Linked DNA regions of Drosophila melanogaster. The protein of the gene in region 1 interacts with the protein of each later gene in a pairwise test. Each region holds a gene or a part of one and is shown on either strand. Other genes may lie near its edges. The genes, in order: Spt-I, CG17147, CG7992 and Ssk.

Region 1 (4,748 bases):
GCCAAATGTTGCGTATTCGCACTGATAGCACCGCACCCAAGTTCATAGTACGTATACGCTCAATTGGCGCTGATTGCCGGCTGGCATATCGGCATCGAAATCAGAGCGCTATGTGCACAACATCATGATTTGGGGTCGTCGTTGTCAAGTTCATCAGTGAATCGAATGCACAAACATGGGTTTGAAAGTCGAAGGGTTATGATTATTGCTCACAGATTAGGTCGCCACTCGGAAACAGCTCTGCTCCACTGGCAATCAAATCGTTTCAAAGCATTTCCATTCCATCTGGCTTATTCCACATATTAGTTATTATTAAGCGTGTGATGTGTATCTTAATTGTCATGCAAGAAAAACATAAATAAATAATGAATGTTTCTTTGTGGAAGTTGTTCTTGTAAATTTTACAACAAATGCCACATAATATTACCCTTATCTTTATCGGGATATTCAAAAACGTTTGCGATTGCGCAGGCGATAAGAAACACCAATAAAAGGGCACGTAACTACCAAATAAACTTAATAGTTTTATTTAACCAGCTCTGTTATCTATAACGTGTAATCTTTGAAAGTTTTCCTAGACTTAAAATTTTTCATTAAAATGCAATGCAACAAAGTGCAAAGAGCAAGTGCAAGGCTAGCTATTAACTTAAACAATTCATACTGGACTGGTCGTGAAGAAGTGATGAAAAAATGATGGGGCCAGCAGGCCTTAAAACTTAACAGCAAGGCCATTGTCGAAAGAAGATCATTCCTTTCCAACAACAAGGCTTATAGGACGGAGCTGGAAACACTCTCGATGACCTCAAACGCATTGTCTATTTCCGAACTCTCCAGCAAACGGTTGACAGCAATGCGAATGCTGGGACGGACTGGTTGGCGTTCCCTGTTCTGCAGGTAGGCAGCCTGTACCACAGCCACTCCACGAGCAATGCACTGGGAAAAGTGAGTAGAAATGTATAGTTTTCATAATTGCATGGGGAAATAAAATGCCTACCTTATCAGCCAGCTCTGTTAGAAGTTTCAGTTCCTTGTCAAAGTTCTCGGCGGGCTGGGCAAGATACAAGTGCTTCACTGGTGACACCTCATCGCCGCGCAGGGTTAGCTTGCTGAATCGCAAAAACTTCTGGTGCAACGTCTTAGACTTTGCCTGCAGCTGCTCGAAGATTTGTGGTTCTCGTTCGAAACGATCCAACGCTGAAATAGCCGCCTGGGTGAGCATGGGCGGCAGCGAGGCCGAGAAGATGTAGCCCAAGCCAGAGAGGCGCTGGTGCTCGGCTATGAAGTGCGAGCCAACACAGAAGCCACCGACTGTTGCCATCGAACCCTCCATGCCGGCCGATATCAGATCGACTTCATCACGCTAAAAGAAAAATACCAGTTATAATTTTAGTTTTTCTTTCCGGTTTACCACCTACATCGACATTAAAGTGCTCCGTAACTCCGTGACCACCCTGGCCCAATGTGCCAAAGGAGATGCTTTCGTCGATGAACAAACGCAGCTTGTACTTCTGACGCAAGGCCACCAGGTCGGGAAGTGGGCAAATCTCGCCCGTATTCATATAGATACCCTCGGCGACGAGGAAGCGACGTGTCTTAGCCGCCTTTTTCGGATTTTTCTGGTCTCGTTTTTCTTGCTCAATCAGCAGACGTTCTAGATCCTCAACGTCATTGTGCTTAAAGAAAACGATTGTGCTTCGTGAAGCATCCAGACCCTTCTGAATGGCAAAGTTGACAGCCTCATCCCTACAAATAACAAGTAATTAGTCGCCAATCTGAGTAGGTGAAGTAGACAATCCTACACAAAGATAAGGTCGCCACGTTTGGCATACGCCGGAATGGCACTGGCCACGGTCGAGAAGCCGTAGGAATAGACAATGGCCTCCTCCAGGCCCATGAACTTGGCAATACGATCCTCCAGGTCCAGATGCACGTCCATAGTGCCGTAGAAGCCCCGAGGTCCGCAAGATCCAACTCCGTACTTGCGCAGCGACTTGCAGGCCTCCTCCAGTATCTCCTGGTCCTCGAGGAAGCCAAGATAGTTGTGAGAGCCAAGATTTAGGCAGTCGTGTCCATCGACCTGGATGCGCTTGCCCACCCTGGACTGCACAACGCGGGTGTGCAGCAGGGGATGATTGGGATCGGTGTCGGCCACCAAGGGCTCTGGTTCATAGTCGGCGATTATTCGGTCTTCCTCCTCCTTGGTCAGCTGTCGGCGACGACCTCCTCCTCGTCTGTGGAGCAGCAACCAAATCACGGTTATGAGCAGTAGGGTCTCCAAGACGAGAGCAAACGTGGGGGTCTGTGGAAGGAGTAGAAACTGGAGTAAGCTAAATGTGGTGAAAAAGGCGAATGCAAACTTACGTTTCGGAAAATACTGCCGATTTCGTTGAACAATTGGATGGCCACCATTTTGACAGTCTGGTTCCGTGCCCTTTCTGTGAAAAATCAATTGAAACCGCCTTAATTCCCTGAAGTTATGTGTCATCTAGCCGACGCTTTCTTATCGCGGGTATGCCCCATACATATGTAGAATTGAAGCATTCGACCATACGGTACGGAAATCTTTTCAATTGGGTGTGTATGCTGACATAGGCTAATTGCCAGTGGGCGAAAAATGTGCAACCACGCCCTTCTCCAACATTCTCTTACATTAAATATCCATTTAAATCGAGCACTCACCACAAAACTCAGTTAACTATAGGCAAAATGCGTGAAATATCCGCCGAAACAGATGGATGAACGAATGTACTAAAAAATACCAATACGCGGATATCTTTAAGATGTGCGCCAAATTGGCGGCGATGGAGGAACAGTGGAATATGGAACTAGGGGACGTTTTTATTTATTTTTTGTTATTCAAAAACCTGGTCCTGTCGACCTGTCCCGCCCACCTGCCCCACCGACCTGTCCCGCCGATCTGACCCACCGACCTGTTCCGCTGACGTGTCCCACTGACCTGTCCCACCGAGCTGACTCGCTAACAACAAAATACAACAAGTTACAACAGATTTTAAATTTTTATTAAAAATTACCTAGATTTTATCAATATTTTTATGATACTGAACTCAAATAAACTTGCTACGTAACGGTTCTTTTCTAGTTATCATTTCAAATATATGATCGATTACTATTTTATATCGATAGGCAGAGCAGCGATCGCAGTGTGACCGTGCGGTGGGAAATAACGAAATCGAATTCAATTCAAACCGCCGATCCATTCAGTTTCCATTGAACTGCTGCTGCGATCGGTCAACCGATGTGAATGAGCCGCGTTACTGGCGCCATCTGAAATTCGAGTTCGCGAGATAAAAACCGCGAGAAGACAAAGAACACCGCAAAAAGCCGATGTAAACAAAGAGATATAGTTAGTTCTGCATTTTGCAAGAAAACTTTATCACATTACACGCGAATCGAAACGGATACTTGTATGTGCACAAAGTGAAATCAGCTGGACAACAAGAGTATTTTGCAATTGCCTTGGTTTATTTTCAGCCACTTGCGGCTGTCGTTTTCTGTGAAATTAACACTTTTTTCTATTGGCAGTGATGGGAAGTGTATATTTGGGTGTACCTGGCTGGTAGTCTAGATACAACAATTTACGCTATGTGTCGCGATCTAGTCTAGGTACAAGTATTCACTCTTCCTTGCAAATGTCCTTGTTTTAATATATAGTAAATTCTATTGCATTTCATATAATTATTTACTATTTACCTATATCACTATTCAATTAGACCCAAGGAAATACTTCTTTCAAAGTCACGATTGTATTTAAAATATACATAATCATTTTTATCAAGTTCCATTTCGTCTTAAATTACAATATTATTAAATAATTGCCAACTGATACTGATGAACTATACTATGTAGCTACCAATCAAAGTACCTTTCACATCACTATCTATCAATCAAATAGTTATAGTTAGCATTGCCCATGCGATAATGGCAAACCGAAATAGCGCAAAGAAAAGCCACTTCCTATTTCTCTTGAACTTGATGCGCTCGAATGAAGCTACCATGTCTACACCATGCCCACTTTCGCAGATAAATCGAGCAATGCACCCGACTAACTCCATGACACAATTGATGCATCCCAGCGCAGTATTTCCTCGATTAGGTATTTTCGCTTTTACCCGCTTTTTGCAATGCGCAATAAGTATCTCTTGGTGTGTGCGAAAATCGGTGGAGCAACCAGTTTTCGAGCTGCATTTTGACGTTGGCTTTTCTTTTACGTAACTCGCTGGCCGGGCACGAGCCAAAAACCAAAATAAATATCAATAATAAACACGGCGCCGCGCCAACCCAGTTAGTGGTTTTCACTTCACTTCACCTCACATCACATCACTTTACTTCTTCTTCTTTGCGGGACCTACCAATTCGGTCCGGCTTGCTCCACTAAGCCGGTAGCCAGCACGTTCCATTATCGCACACATCCCATCCGGAATACTAATGGACGGACATGGTGTACCTTTGAGGAAATGTATATGTAGTTGGTTCATGACGATCCATAGTTCGTTGGCCAAGTGAACCCGTCGTATCGGAAATCACCGCTTTGTGCACAGCCAAGTTAAAACGGTCGAGTTCAATGGAAATTGCCTGATTTCGAATTCCACACAGTTTAGTTAGGTGCTGGAGTGCCGATTCTGCCGCCTAAAGTGCCAAATATTCAAAGTGAACTATCAGAAGCAACCATGATGAGTGGCCAGCCACTTGGCTCGAGGGTTTGGCTGTTGTCCGGAGTGCTATTAGTG
Region 2 (3,646 bases), on another chromosome or scaffold:
ACTGTGCGGACGAGGAGACGGCCTTGTACGGCACCTGTCCGCAGGAGACGCACTTCAATGCCACCACCCAGATGTGCTCCCGCCAACACGAATCGGATTGCACCACCAGCACCTTCGAGTACTGCAGCATTGTTAAGAACGGCGTAAACTTCGACAATCTGCAGGGCTGCAATATGTATCACGTCTGTGAGAAGGGCGTCCTGAAGGACAAGACATGCTCGAAAACCTATTATCAGGCCAGCACGGGCGAGTGTGTGTCCAAGGCTCTGGTGGACTGCGATGCCCATCCGTTGCCCACGGATGTCTGCGGCAAGGCCAGTAAGCCCTACGAGAACAAGTTCGTCGCGGATGAAGCCACCTGTCGCGGCTACTTCTACTGCGCCAAGCAGAAGGATGGCACCCCGGACCCCAATCCGGTGTGGAACCAGTGTCCCCAGGACAGATTCTTCGATGCGAGCAGCCAGATGTGCATAACCCCCAGTTCGGTCTATTGCTCCCACGATCGTTGCGACGGTCGGACTGCTAGTTTTGTCGTTAGTGCCACCAAGGGCTGTCGCAACTATCTGAGCTGCTCCGACGGGGTAACCGTGAGCGAGAGGTCCTGCGGCAACTACTTCTTCGACGACCAGCAGGGCGCCTGCACTCCAAGTGTCCAGACCTACACCGCGTGCAAGACGTAGGCATGTATTTCCAATAAAGCTCAGAATGCAATGTGATATTTGGTTAAGGAAGTGTTGTAATGAAGTGCACTAGTTTGGATTCTTTCGGGGACTGTGGAACCTGGATTGTCATAGATATAGATACGCGGCTCTCTAGCGAGTTCGTGTTTATGCACAATGACAAGTTTCTGCTGTAAGCCAGTATCTTTGCTGTAACTCGAGGATCGTAGTTGAGATATATTGTTTTTTTACCCGTTTTTATAAGAACGTAGATTGTTTTCGTTGCTCTAATGCTTAAGATTAGCTACCAAAAAGAACAATAATCTTAAACAAGTTCTAGTTCGAAATTCGAATAAATAATATCTGATGGGTGAGTGAAGAACACCTGTATTTTGTTTAATATTCCTGGAACAATTCAGCTGAAAACTAGGTAAATGAACAAATAGAATTTTAAGAATTCACTCAATCATGGAAACTTTTCTTGCAGGTGGTAACGATGGAATAGCATGGCCTCACCGAGGAGACCATAAATGATAATCACTGTCCTATTCGTTGGTTACAATCAATGTTTTCAAAAGTTCTGATTTTCCAAACAAAAACCTATCGAAAGCGACAGTGAAATAGCAAGGCAGTATATTTTAAAAGGTTGTCATATTTACGGCACAATAACTGCTGACCGTTTAATCGCATCAGCGATAAATATATTTATAGTTCAATTAATTAACGGCCAACAGAAGGTTCATTTGACTCGTAACTACCGTGGGTATACCTCATTAACTAGTGGCACTTTCCTTTTCGACTGAAGTTGCCAAAATTTACTATGAAAGTGAGTCGTTAAGGAATCTGCAGTCAGCTGTCTCGATTTCAATCGATTTCAATCACCAATTACGACCTACTTGAAGGGTTTTACCTCCTTTCGCACAACATTGATAAGATTTGCTCATAAGAGAGGCAATAAAGCGCTGGTATCAGCAGAAGCAGTGGCAACGATAATGACTCCTAGTTAATATAAGATTCTTCCATTCACGAAACTCCATTTAGTCGCGCGTAATTGGTTCCCGAGGCCACATCAAACCACTCGATCTATTCTGTTGCAAATTAAACCAAAGTTTCCCAGCAATCAGCCATGCTAAGTGAGTTTTATGAACCCATTAATTTACCGTCATAGATATTTACTTATACACCCTGATTCAGCCTTTATTTTTAGTGAAAAGTAACAGCTTGCATGCGTTTTTAAAGATACAATTAAAATGTAGAATCTAGATATTTTGTTCATTCATATTCATTTTTATAGGTATATCTTTAAAGGTTTTTAAGCATATCTATATGTTTTTCAAAAGGTGTGCTGTATCAATCTAATATCTCGCGATCATATGTATATCATTCGTAGACCTCAAACTTGGAGTGCTTCTCGGATGCGTTCTCTTGTTGGCTACCGTAGCTCTTTCGGCGAGTGTCGGTGAATACGAGGAGCTGTGTCGCCTTTTCAAGAACGGGACCAAGGTTCGCAAGCCCGGCACCTGCGACCAGTACATTCAGTGCTACGATGGCAACGGCACCGTCCTGACCTGCCCCTCCAACCAGTCCTTCAATCCCAGCAAGGGTAGTTGCGTGGACACGTTGGCCAACAGCAACAAGTACTGCGGCAATCGCTGCGAGGGATTGGATGGCGAATGGGTGGCCGATCCGACCGAGTGCCACAAGTACTTCTACTGCATGAACGGCGTACCGCTGGCGGGGATGTGTCCCGTAGGCCAGCACTTCGATGAGCGCTCTCAGTCCTGCCTGTACGGCGTGGACTCCATGTGCGTGGATGTGAACAACATTTGCGAGCTGGTGGCGGAAAATACGAAGTTCCGGAATGAGAAGGACTGCGCCTACTACTATGAGTGTGACAAGACCGGTAACCATGCGTCCAAGAGCTGCACTGTCACCTCCAAGAAGCGCGAGTATTTCGATGTGGAGAGCGGCAATTGCGTGGAAGCCAATAAGGTGGAGTGCACCGCCCATTCGAAGGAGAACGTCTGCACCAGCAGCACAACAATGACATTCAAATCCGACCAAGCCACCTGCCGTGGATACTTCGTATGCAAGGCCCTCTATCCCGTCGCCGACCTGGATCCACTGTGGACGCAGTGCCCCGAGGGCTACTTCTTCGACGAGGATCGGCAGCTCTGCGCCAATCCCACCACAGTGGTGTGCACCCACAACAGATGCGACGGACGCGGCACGATGCTGGTGACCAGCAGCAGCAATAACTGTCACAACTACATCCGGTGTGTGGACAACAAGGAGGTGACGGAGGAAACCTGCCACTGGGATCACTTCTTCGACGAGACAGTGGAAGCGTGCTCCTCCAAGATCATCTACGATAAGTGTTGCGATGGCCGGGACTAAACAAAAAATAAATTTAACTAAAAGTGCAAAGAAAAAGAGGTAGTTGATTTTTATTGGCGATCAATATATCCGTTAAAAGCAAAGACACTAGAAAGGTACACAGGTTAAAAGGGTATACTAGATTCGTTGAGAAGTATGTAACAAGCAGAGGGAAGCGTTTTCGACCATATGGAGTATATATTCTTGATCAGGATCAATATTCCACAAACCACCCAAAACTGTCACGACCACACTTTCGAACAATTTTTAAATTATGGTTTGGTTTTTAATTTCTACTAATATTCAAAAATATCGGGGACTTCGACTATAGCATTTTTTTTTGTTTTTATTTTGTTTTCAAAACAATTATATTTACGATTTGGCTTGAAATTTCAGTTTTTTTGGGTACAATACAAACATATACTATGTGCTTTATGAGCAATCCATTAATAGCACACATTTAAAATTCAGGTAATTGCCCGTATGGTACGCATTAAAATTAGACAACACATTTCTAATCTTTCTAAATTTAGAAATCAATTAGTTTTATCGTTCTGTTGATCAGTTACCAAAATGTAGAACAACATCCACATGAAAATACCAAGATTAAT
Region 3 (4,357 bases), on another chromosome or scaffold:
CTGGTAGTTGCTGGTGGTTGCTGCTGCTGTTAGGTGGCTGGTGGGTGGTTGGTGTGGTTGGGGTGGTGCTGGCGCTACGAGTTCGGCCTGCAAGTGCCGGAGCTGTCGTCGCAGCCGAGTTGCGGAAGTGAAAGCCAGGGATAAGGCAGGGCCAAGACATTGGGGTGCCCTGCCAGCGGATAAGCGCTGCCTGGGCCGCCGGTTCGGCTCCGTTTGTGCAGGATGACAGGATGGGTGGGGGAAGCGGCCGTGTCATGGTTGCGCCTGGGAAGCGCACAGGCGCATTGGACACATCCTCTCTCGTCTCGGGACGCTTATGCAACTGAGCGTTTTGCTTGCTCTCTCGCCAGCTCGTCGAATCGCCGTTGGTGTGACGTCGCAAATGTACACTGCCCGAAAGAAGTGCCAAGTCTTGAATGTAGCAGATAATTAATGTAGTGACAGCTTGCTATCACATCATGTCTTTAAGAAAGAAAGCAGACATATATAGTTAAATCAAAAGATACTAAAATCTGAAGAATTTCCGCTTTGTGAGGGTTTGACGAAATCTTTGCTTTCTACACAAATCAAATCTTAATAAATAAGTATTTCACTTAAGTTAGTAATTAATTTCCAAGTCTGATAAAGTTATATTTATATTAAGCAATAATAATAGACATTATTGATTTGTTAATTTCTAACTTCACAACGAATACATGATAAAATGTACTCCAAAAACGCAATCGTTAAGTAGTATTTCTAATATTTTTTATTATTTCTAAAAATGTATATATGTATATAGTTTGTTATGTAGGCTGGGAATGCCATCTTAATATTTATTCGACCATAATCTTTTCGTATACGGCCTTTTATTTTCTTACTTCCTGTCGCAACTCTCTCTCTCTCTCTTTTTTGCTCTCGGCTTCAATCAATTTTCCGCTCAAAGGTAAACAAACTAACCAAGAACTTACCCCCACCCACTTTGGCAACCAACCACCCACCCACAACCCAACCACCCCATTTGCGTCTGATAAAGTACTTGCTGGCATTTAATATTGGATTGAAATCAATTTACCAAGCATTATCGCCGGACGTTCTATTGCCCGTACTCCTATCACCATTAGCCATTTGAGATTAGTTTTAAGCCCTATCGTTGGAATGGCCCAATGGCCTTTGCCACATTGTTTTCTTATGCATATGAAAGGCCAAAAAATTGTACGTTTCCGTGGCAGCGTGGTAAATAGTAGGGGCCCTCAGTTGGGCCAACTGCCAAGGAGCTTATCAACCGGCGGACATCTGTTTATCTGTCCAAGTGGCTTATTCCACTGCGGCATTAGTCACTCACTTTGGGATACACTGGCGAAAAAAGCGCCAGGAAATTCGATCATATAAATTGGGGTAAAAATATTTACATAAAATGGGAAATATAGTACTTCGAGTAATGCCATAGATAGATACTTGCTCAAAAAAAGATACATTCAGGTACAAAAAAAAACATTGATCTATAACCAACGAATTTCTCCACAAGATGCGCAACATAATCGGATTTCCTTTTGACTATCATAATTCATGAACCCGAGCGGAGAAATGGCTAGATAATCCCAAACCCTCAACTTTTCCGCCCGTGTATCCATGGCCACCACACACATGCACCTGGTCGGGTCGGGTTGGCTTATCTTATCGCCTTATCTGCGCCGCCTTCGTCGCAGTCGAATTCTCCGCCGGACTTCCACCGGCCCATTTGCCATTTGTCCGGCGTCGCATCGTAGGCATCTCCATTCCAGCTGCTCGCTAAAATGCTCTAAGCTCCTTCGATAGACGAACCTTCCTCTCCCTGCTGCTGGACTAACTAACGCAAATCTATCGCAAAAATGTCGAATGTGTGGGGCAAACTGGTGCTGAAGTTCTTTAAATATGCGCCCAGCTATGTGGGTGAGTTAGCCACGCCAATGGAGATCCTTGTCCAGAGATTACGTCTCATTCACTTCCAGTCTGCCTGTGCTTCCTGCCCTGCGGCATGATCTTTGGCTATACGATCTGCGCCTTTGTTGCGGAGCGGAACCTCAACGCTGGACTCATTCACTATGGACCATTGATTCTGGGCGCCTGCTGGGCGTTGATCACTGCCCTGGCCATGCTGACGGTCAAGTTCGTGAAGAAGTGCATCGTCTACTGGCAGCCATGGCTGCTCCTGGCAGCCGGAGTCTTTAATCTCATAGGCAGCTGCTTCTACTTTGCCGATGGATTTGGTGAGTCATTTCTATGGGCTATTAATTCGCTTCGAAAGGCTTGTGAAAAGTAAATCAATCTGTATCTATATGGCTGGAACTGGGATGTTCTACATATAAGTTTTGAAATAGATTTCAGTTAACAATACTTGAATTTATTTCCCAATAGAGAGAGAGAGAGAGGCAAAGTGATTTGCAATCTGAAAATGATTCGATCTCGATCTGAGTATGTTGAGCATGATTCAATCTTGGCTAGATTTTGAAATCTATATTCTTAAATCAATATCGTTAAGAAATGTTTTGAATGTATGATTTCAGCGAGTTTTTCCAATTCCTTAATCCCACTATTATTATCACTTCAGACCACGTCGGAGCCTATATATCGTACTTGGCGCACAGCATGACCTTCGTGGCCGGCTATAGCTTCCTGCTCACGATCAGCTCCAAGGGCAGCAGGTCGCTGTTCCTCTCGGGCAGCTGCAGCTGCTACCTGCTGGGCGTGGCGTCCGCCGTCAGCCTGATCGTGGCCTCCTACAGCCGGAATGTAAAGGAGCTGGCCGGACAGACGGTGACCACGGAGCAACTGATCGATGGCATCTATGTAAACTTCGCCGGCACCTACTTGAGTGTGGCGGCCGCCGTGTTGGCCATTCTGGTGGGCCAGAAGGTGCTCCACTTTCTGGGCACCGTCGACCTGGTGAACAGCATGGACAACGACCTGCGGATCGCCAACTCGAATGGCAGCATCTTCGAGCAGCGATCGGAGGTCATCAAGCGACTGCAGTTCTTCTACGTGACCAAGAACCAGCAGTGGAACATAATGCTACTGCTCCTCTTCACGGAGGCCGTGCAGTTCGCCCTGTTCGTGTACTTTGTCTACTGGTTTGCCCTTAATCCGGCCATCCGGCTGACAGAGTTCTCCGGCATCGACGGCATGTTCTGGGTGATCTTTGCGGGCAGCCTGCTGGCCCTCATCTGCCAGTGGTTCCTGTCGGTGAAGGTCACCTTTGTGGGCTCGCAGGTGGCCCTCATCTCCTTCACTCTGCTGGCCATGATCCTCTGCAGCGTTACGGACTCCAGGTGGTCGCTCTGGCTGCTCCTTGTGCTCTTTGGCCTGTCGTACTCGCAGCAGCAGATTCTCCTGCTGGAGGTCACCCATCTGCGCTTCACCGAATGCATCATATGCATCTCGTATGTGCTCAAGTTGATCTGCACCAGCATCGTGTACTTCTACTTTGTGGCGGATGCGAAGAACTCCTACTTCTATGCCACCGACTCGAGCACTCTGATGGCCCAGGGATTCGTCTTTCTCATCATCACCTCGCTGCTGGCACTCGTGGTGGGCATGAAGGTGCCCCGGACGCATCGCGCCCAGCTGCTGGAGATCCAGTACGAGGTGTACGGCATCATCTTTATGAAGCACCAGATCGAGCAGCTCAACGTCCGTTGGCTGAACGACGGCACCATTCCCACCATCAACCAGTGAGCCCGAATTTGAGCTTAGGTCCCCGAGCTGTACACACACACTTTCTTATCTTATCACAAATACTCAGTATTTAATGAATCGAAAATAAAAAGACTTCTCAGTCTTTATCCACATACAATTGGTGACAACAGAAATAGGAGCCTGAGTTGAAGAAGCTATAAATTTCGTCTATATATCAAGGCATATAAACGACTTAAGAATATTAAATATAGAACTATAACTGCTTAAGTCAAATTCTTTGGAAATTAGATACAAAACTTCTGATATACACATTTTCATATGATCCGCCTAAAAGGTTTTGCAGTTGTATCTTTATCATCATTAAAGAGCTGTAAATTCTTTTCCAATTTTCCAAACAATCCCAATAGAGATACAATCAAGGCCTTAAGTGGGTTCCAGATAGTGGGTGTTTGTTTACGTGGTGTAGGTTTATTTTAGGACTAAAACTAGCGTCTTATGGAGATAATCTGGACGGCGGCGGTGTGATCGCGACAAAAGTGGCTGGCACAGGCCGATACGTTCGCACATGGAGTCACCTTGTAGCCACTGTCACCTGGAGGATAATATGCTTAGTTATGCGGGCGTTCCCCATCTGGAGATATGACATGACTCACCCAGCTGGGTCATGAACTTGTGCAGCGTGTCCACATTCCGCACCGTGCTG
Region 4 (3,463 bases), on another chromosome or scaffold:
TGAAGCGTCATCGATTTGGTTGAACAACTCATGAACTCTGTTCTCAGCAAAGAAATGAGTGATATATACCAAATTCTGCGAATCGTCTGACATTTTTCCTGTGTGCATCAGTTCCTAAACAATTAGTTTAGTTTTCCATCAAGTTCTTTAAAAGAATATTAGGTTCTTGGAGAGCAATAGGTTCTCTAGTACTAGTACTAAAAACAAATGAAATATCTCACCAATTACAATATATCAGTATCAGATCGCTTGGAATATGAAATTTCGATTGGGTGTTAGTTTAAAGTCGAAAAGTTTAGTCAACAAATCTAAGTTGTCGTTTTTTGACAAAAATTAGCAAAATGCTTACGTATGATGTATGATATATATAAATAATCTTTCATTAATTGCAATGATATCAGAAAAAAAGAAACTGAGCAACACGATCAATGGGTTCTGATGGTAATTAGTTGATTTAGGTTACAATTGATACTTACTAGTAAGTGGCATTCCATTGCATCCCCTTAATTAGTTCCCAAATGCACAAAAACTTTTATCCGTGGCGTGGTCTTAACTATTTGTATTTGCCAATTTAAGGATGTTAAACGTGAATGAAAATTGTAAACAGTTAGTGTATAGTACAGCGACAATTGACCCTTACGAACGTATAGTTGATAATTGATTGCGGATAATAACTAATTTGCACTTAAATCGATCTATGTATAAAGACAAATGTGGATGGTGTTTATTCGGCGGCTGCGATTGGTATCCCCACTATTCAGTTTCTACTGCGTGTAGTCGGTGTCGCCCTTCGAATAGTGTATGCAAGCCAACACGGTGTCCAGCAGGTACAGTGCGCCCTCGATAACGCACAGCGAGCCCATGGCAATGCCCACTTGACGCTCCGAGTTCACATACAGGAATCCCTCGTCGGACATGTAACCCTTCCAGTAGTGGAGTGCCACTCCGCCCACGGCGATCCACATGATGCAGCCAACCACGTTCATGATGGTGTCGCACAGCTCTCTGAAAAACGGAAAGCCATTGAAAACAAACAGTTGTGAGTTGAGAGTGTGGAATTAAGGGCGGAAAATACAAGAAAAGGAATAAGATGCGGGTCAAAGTTCAGCTATAATCAATATCGGCATTCAACATACCCCTTATGTTTGGTTGTGCCGAAGGCAAAGGCAATGGTGTGGCATCCAGTGTAAATCAAGAATCCAACCATGACGCCTGAGGCTACGATTTCCGCATCGGCGCTCTTCTCCTCGTTTAAGTTCCACGTGCCGCCGATGCCCAGGAATTCGCCACCATCGCCCCAACGGTACAAGAAGATGATCACCAGATTGATGATCTGCGAAAAAGGAGCGCACAGGAGAGCAATTAAATGAGGTCACAATTGGGAATGGGAATGAATGAATCACTTCTTGGCCACGCCTCGCCTTGCCGTACAACTCGGCGTATGAGTAACATTGCTAATACGCCAGGACTGATAAAACGCGCGCTTATCTATCAGCCGAGTTATTGCGACCACAAACAGGCTATTGCTCAATAGGAAGGGACCAAAGAAGCCCAAAACTTACCAGCTTCAGGGCCTTGATGAAAATAGAGCCTACAGTCTCCACGGACACCATTTCGCACTAGATATGCTGATTGCTCTTATCGCTGAGCTGGAATTTGGGCAAATGCTTTAGTTCACAGAGGGGTTTCTCCCAGTCAAGGGGCACTCACAATCTTTTCTGTAATTTTCACGCGGAAACTACAGCGAAATGATTCGTTTTCGTATCGTTGTCGTTCGTCGACTAAACTGAAAAATATCACTGAAAGGCAACCAACCAACCTGTCGCGCCCAGTTCGTCGTGTCGCCAAGAATTTGTAGCTTTTGCAATCAGAGCATACACGGTCAGCGATAAGATAAGATAGGGCTCACGATAACAGGTGCCGTTCGAAATGGGTTACTAATTCGTTGACGGTTCAACATGTTCAGGCTCCGAAGCCCAATGAAACCCAGATGCGCATGCGCCAGCCCCACCCGCGTATCTTATCAAAACGGCCTTATCGCAGCTCTGTCGCCTTACATCGCGATATATCAGGTGCTCCGATTTGCCGCTTTCCACAGCATTGTTACACATTATTCATGGCGGCCACAAAGCCACAAAACGGGGAAACATACCCGCGGCTCTGAGAGACCGGAAACAATTATTCTTGCGTCATCGATGTATTTCTGAAATACTTTCGTGGTGACCCATTCCCATTCCCACTGATAAAGCTCCCGGTGGTGCATCCCTCGAACAGATTAAAAATTCACTGACCTTGTCACGATTCCGATGATCGATAGCCCAGTGGATTCCAGCTACTGATTAAAAAGTCTCAGACACACAAAAAGTCACTGGAACCTAATCTGCATTTCAATTATCACAACCCTAGCACAATAATCGTGGCTGTAGGTGGCCCATGTTCGAGATTTCGAATCAATTGGAAGAGCACAATGCAAAATGATAGGAGCAATTGGGGAGCAAAAAAGCAACTTGCGGTTGATGTGGGGTTCCTCGATTTACATATTGCCTATTTATCACAGTAAAATGGTGTATAAAAATACAACTCTTGGATGAATGGTGCGTTTTAAGAACACTGTGTAACATGAAAAGCAAACAATTTTCAGGTCACGAAGAAAAGAAAGAACTTAGTTAGAAATAGTTACAGTCCCTTGTTTCTAAATTCAATGTTTAAAAACTAATTGAAAATGGATGCATATGGTTTTTGGACAAATGAATAATTGCATAAGTTTGGAGGGCGTGGGAAATTAACTATACTGCACATTTGGCACCTCGTGCCCTGTGTTTTGTATTTAAGGCCGACATTAAAATGTGCTTGTATAAATCATAAGTTCAGAACATGGAACAAACATGAGATCACACCTCATCAAGGGTTTTTTTTATGACCCGCATTGAGTAGCAAGTATACACACTGATATTCATGAGTACTATATATAAACAAGTATTATTTACGCTGTGCCGAGGGTATTATTGGATTTCATTTCAGAAAATTTAATTTTAGCATACAACTAACTTTCCAACCTAAGCTTTTCAAAATAAATATGTTGTTTTAGCGGAAATTGTCTCTTTTGTATACAAGTTTTTAAAATGTGATTAAACGTGCTTGAATGCCTTAAGAATAGTATTTGCTTAGGGAAAACAAGTAATTGAATAAGATTTATTTAATTAAAGGTAATAAAATTAAATTTGAGCAAGGTACATGGATACTGATTTATTTACATAGATCTGCTTTCCATTTTAAATGCAAGTTGTCTGATGCCTGGATAAGCAAAGGAATATCTTCCCAAATCAAGGCCAAAGGTTGTCGAGTTCTTTGTTTTCGTTCCCCCATTGCGAATGCCGCTCAGCACCGCGGATTCTTCCCCACTTCTCAAATCCCCATGTGGAGTCCCAGAAAGCAAGCGACGTTAAATTTGGAATTTGTCTCC

Evidence for each region.
Region 2: the proteins of Spt-I (region 1) and CG17147 interact in a two-hybrid assay, tested with the Drosophila melanogaster proteins (one large-scale study listed by BioGRID).
Region 3: the proteins of Spt-I (region 1) and CG7992 interact in a two-hybrid assay, tested with the Drosophila melanogaster proteins (one large-scale study listed by BioGRID).
Region 4: the proteins of Spt-I (region 1) and Ssk interact in a two-hybrid assay, tested with the Drosophila melanogaster proteins (one large-scale study listed by BioGRID).

The regions. Positions count from the first base shown.
Region 1 is NT_033778.4:13,166,502-13,171,249, reverse strand, and holds Spt-I (serine palmitoyltransferase subunit I), read right to left. Parts: upstream 2,753-4,748; 5' UTR 2,680-2,752; exon of another isoform or gene 2,436-2,679; 5' UTR 2,410-2,435; coding exon 2,362-2,409; exon of another isoform or gene 2,300-2,361; coding exon 1,800-2,299; exon of another isoform or gene 1,744-1,799; coding exon 1,416-1,743; exon of another isoform or gene 1,361-1,415; coding exon 995-1,360; intron 943-994; exon of another isoform or gene 934-942; coding exon 769-933; 3' UTR 506-768; downstream 1-505. Other genes in the region: GLaz (glial lazarillo), read left to right, coding at 4,689-4,748.
Region 2 is NT_037436.4:20,222,238-20,225,883, forward strand, and holds CG17147 (uncharacterized protein), read left to right. Parts: upstream 1-1,694; 5' UTR 1,695-1,785; coding exon 1,786-1,792; intron 1,793-2,049; coding exon 2,050-3,056; 3' UTR 3,057-3,087; downstream 3,088-3,646. Other genes in the region: CG17145 (uncharacterized protein), read left to right, coding at 1-680.
Region 3 is NC_004354.4:19,244,608-19,248,964, reverse strand, and holds CG7992 (uncharacterized protein), read left to right. Parts: upstream 1-1,714; 5' UTR 1,715-1,850; coding exon 1,851-1,911; intron 1,912-1,970; coding exon 1,971-2,228; intron 2,229-2,569; coding exon 2,570-3,693; 3' UTR 3,694-3,807; downstream 3,808-4,357. Other genes in the region: CG7889 (uncharacterized protein), read right to left, coding at 4,140-4,246, 4,308-4,357.
Region 4 is NT_037436.4:20,186,862-20,190,324, reverse strand, and holds Ssk (snakeskin), read right to left. Parts: upstream 1,804-3,463; 5' UTR 1,614-1,803; coding exon 1,563-1,613; intron 1,334-1,562; coding exon 1,137-1,333; intron 1,006-1,136; coding exon 765-1,005; 3' UTR 546-764; downstream 1-545. UniProt on the Drosophila melanogaster protein: Required for assembly of smooth septate junctions (sSJs), together with mesh and Tsp2A. May be important for barrier function of the midgut epithelium.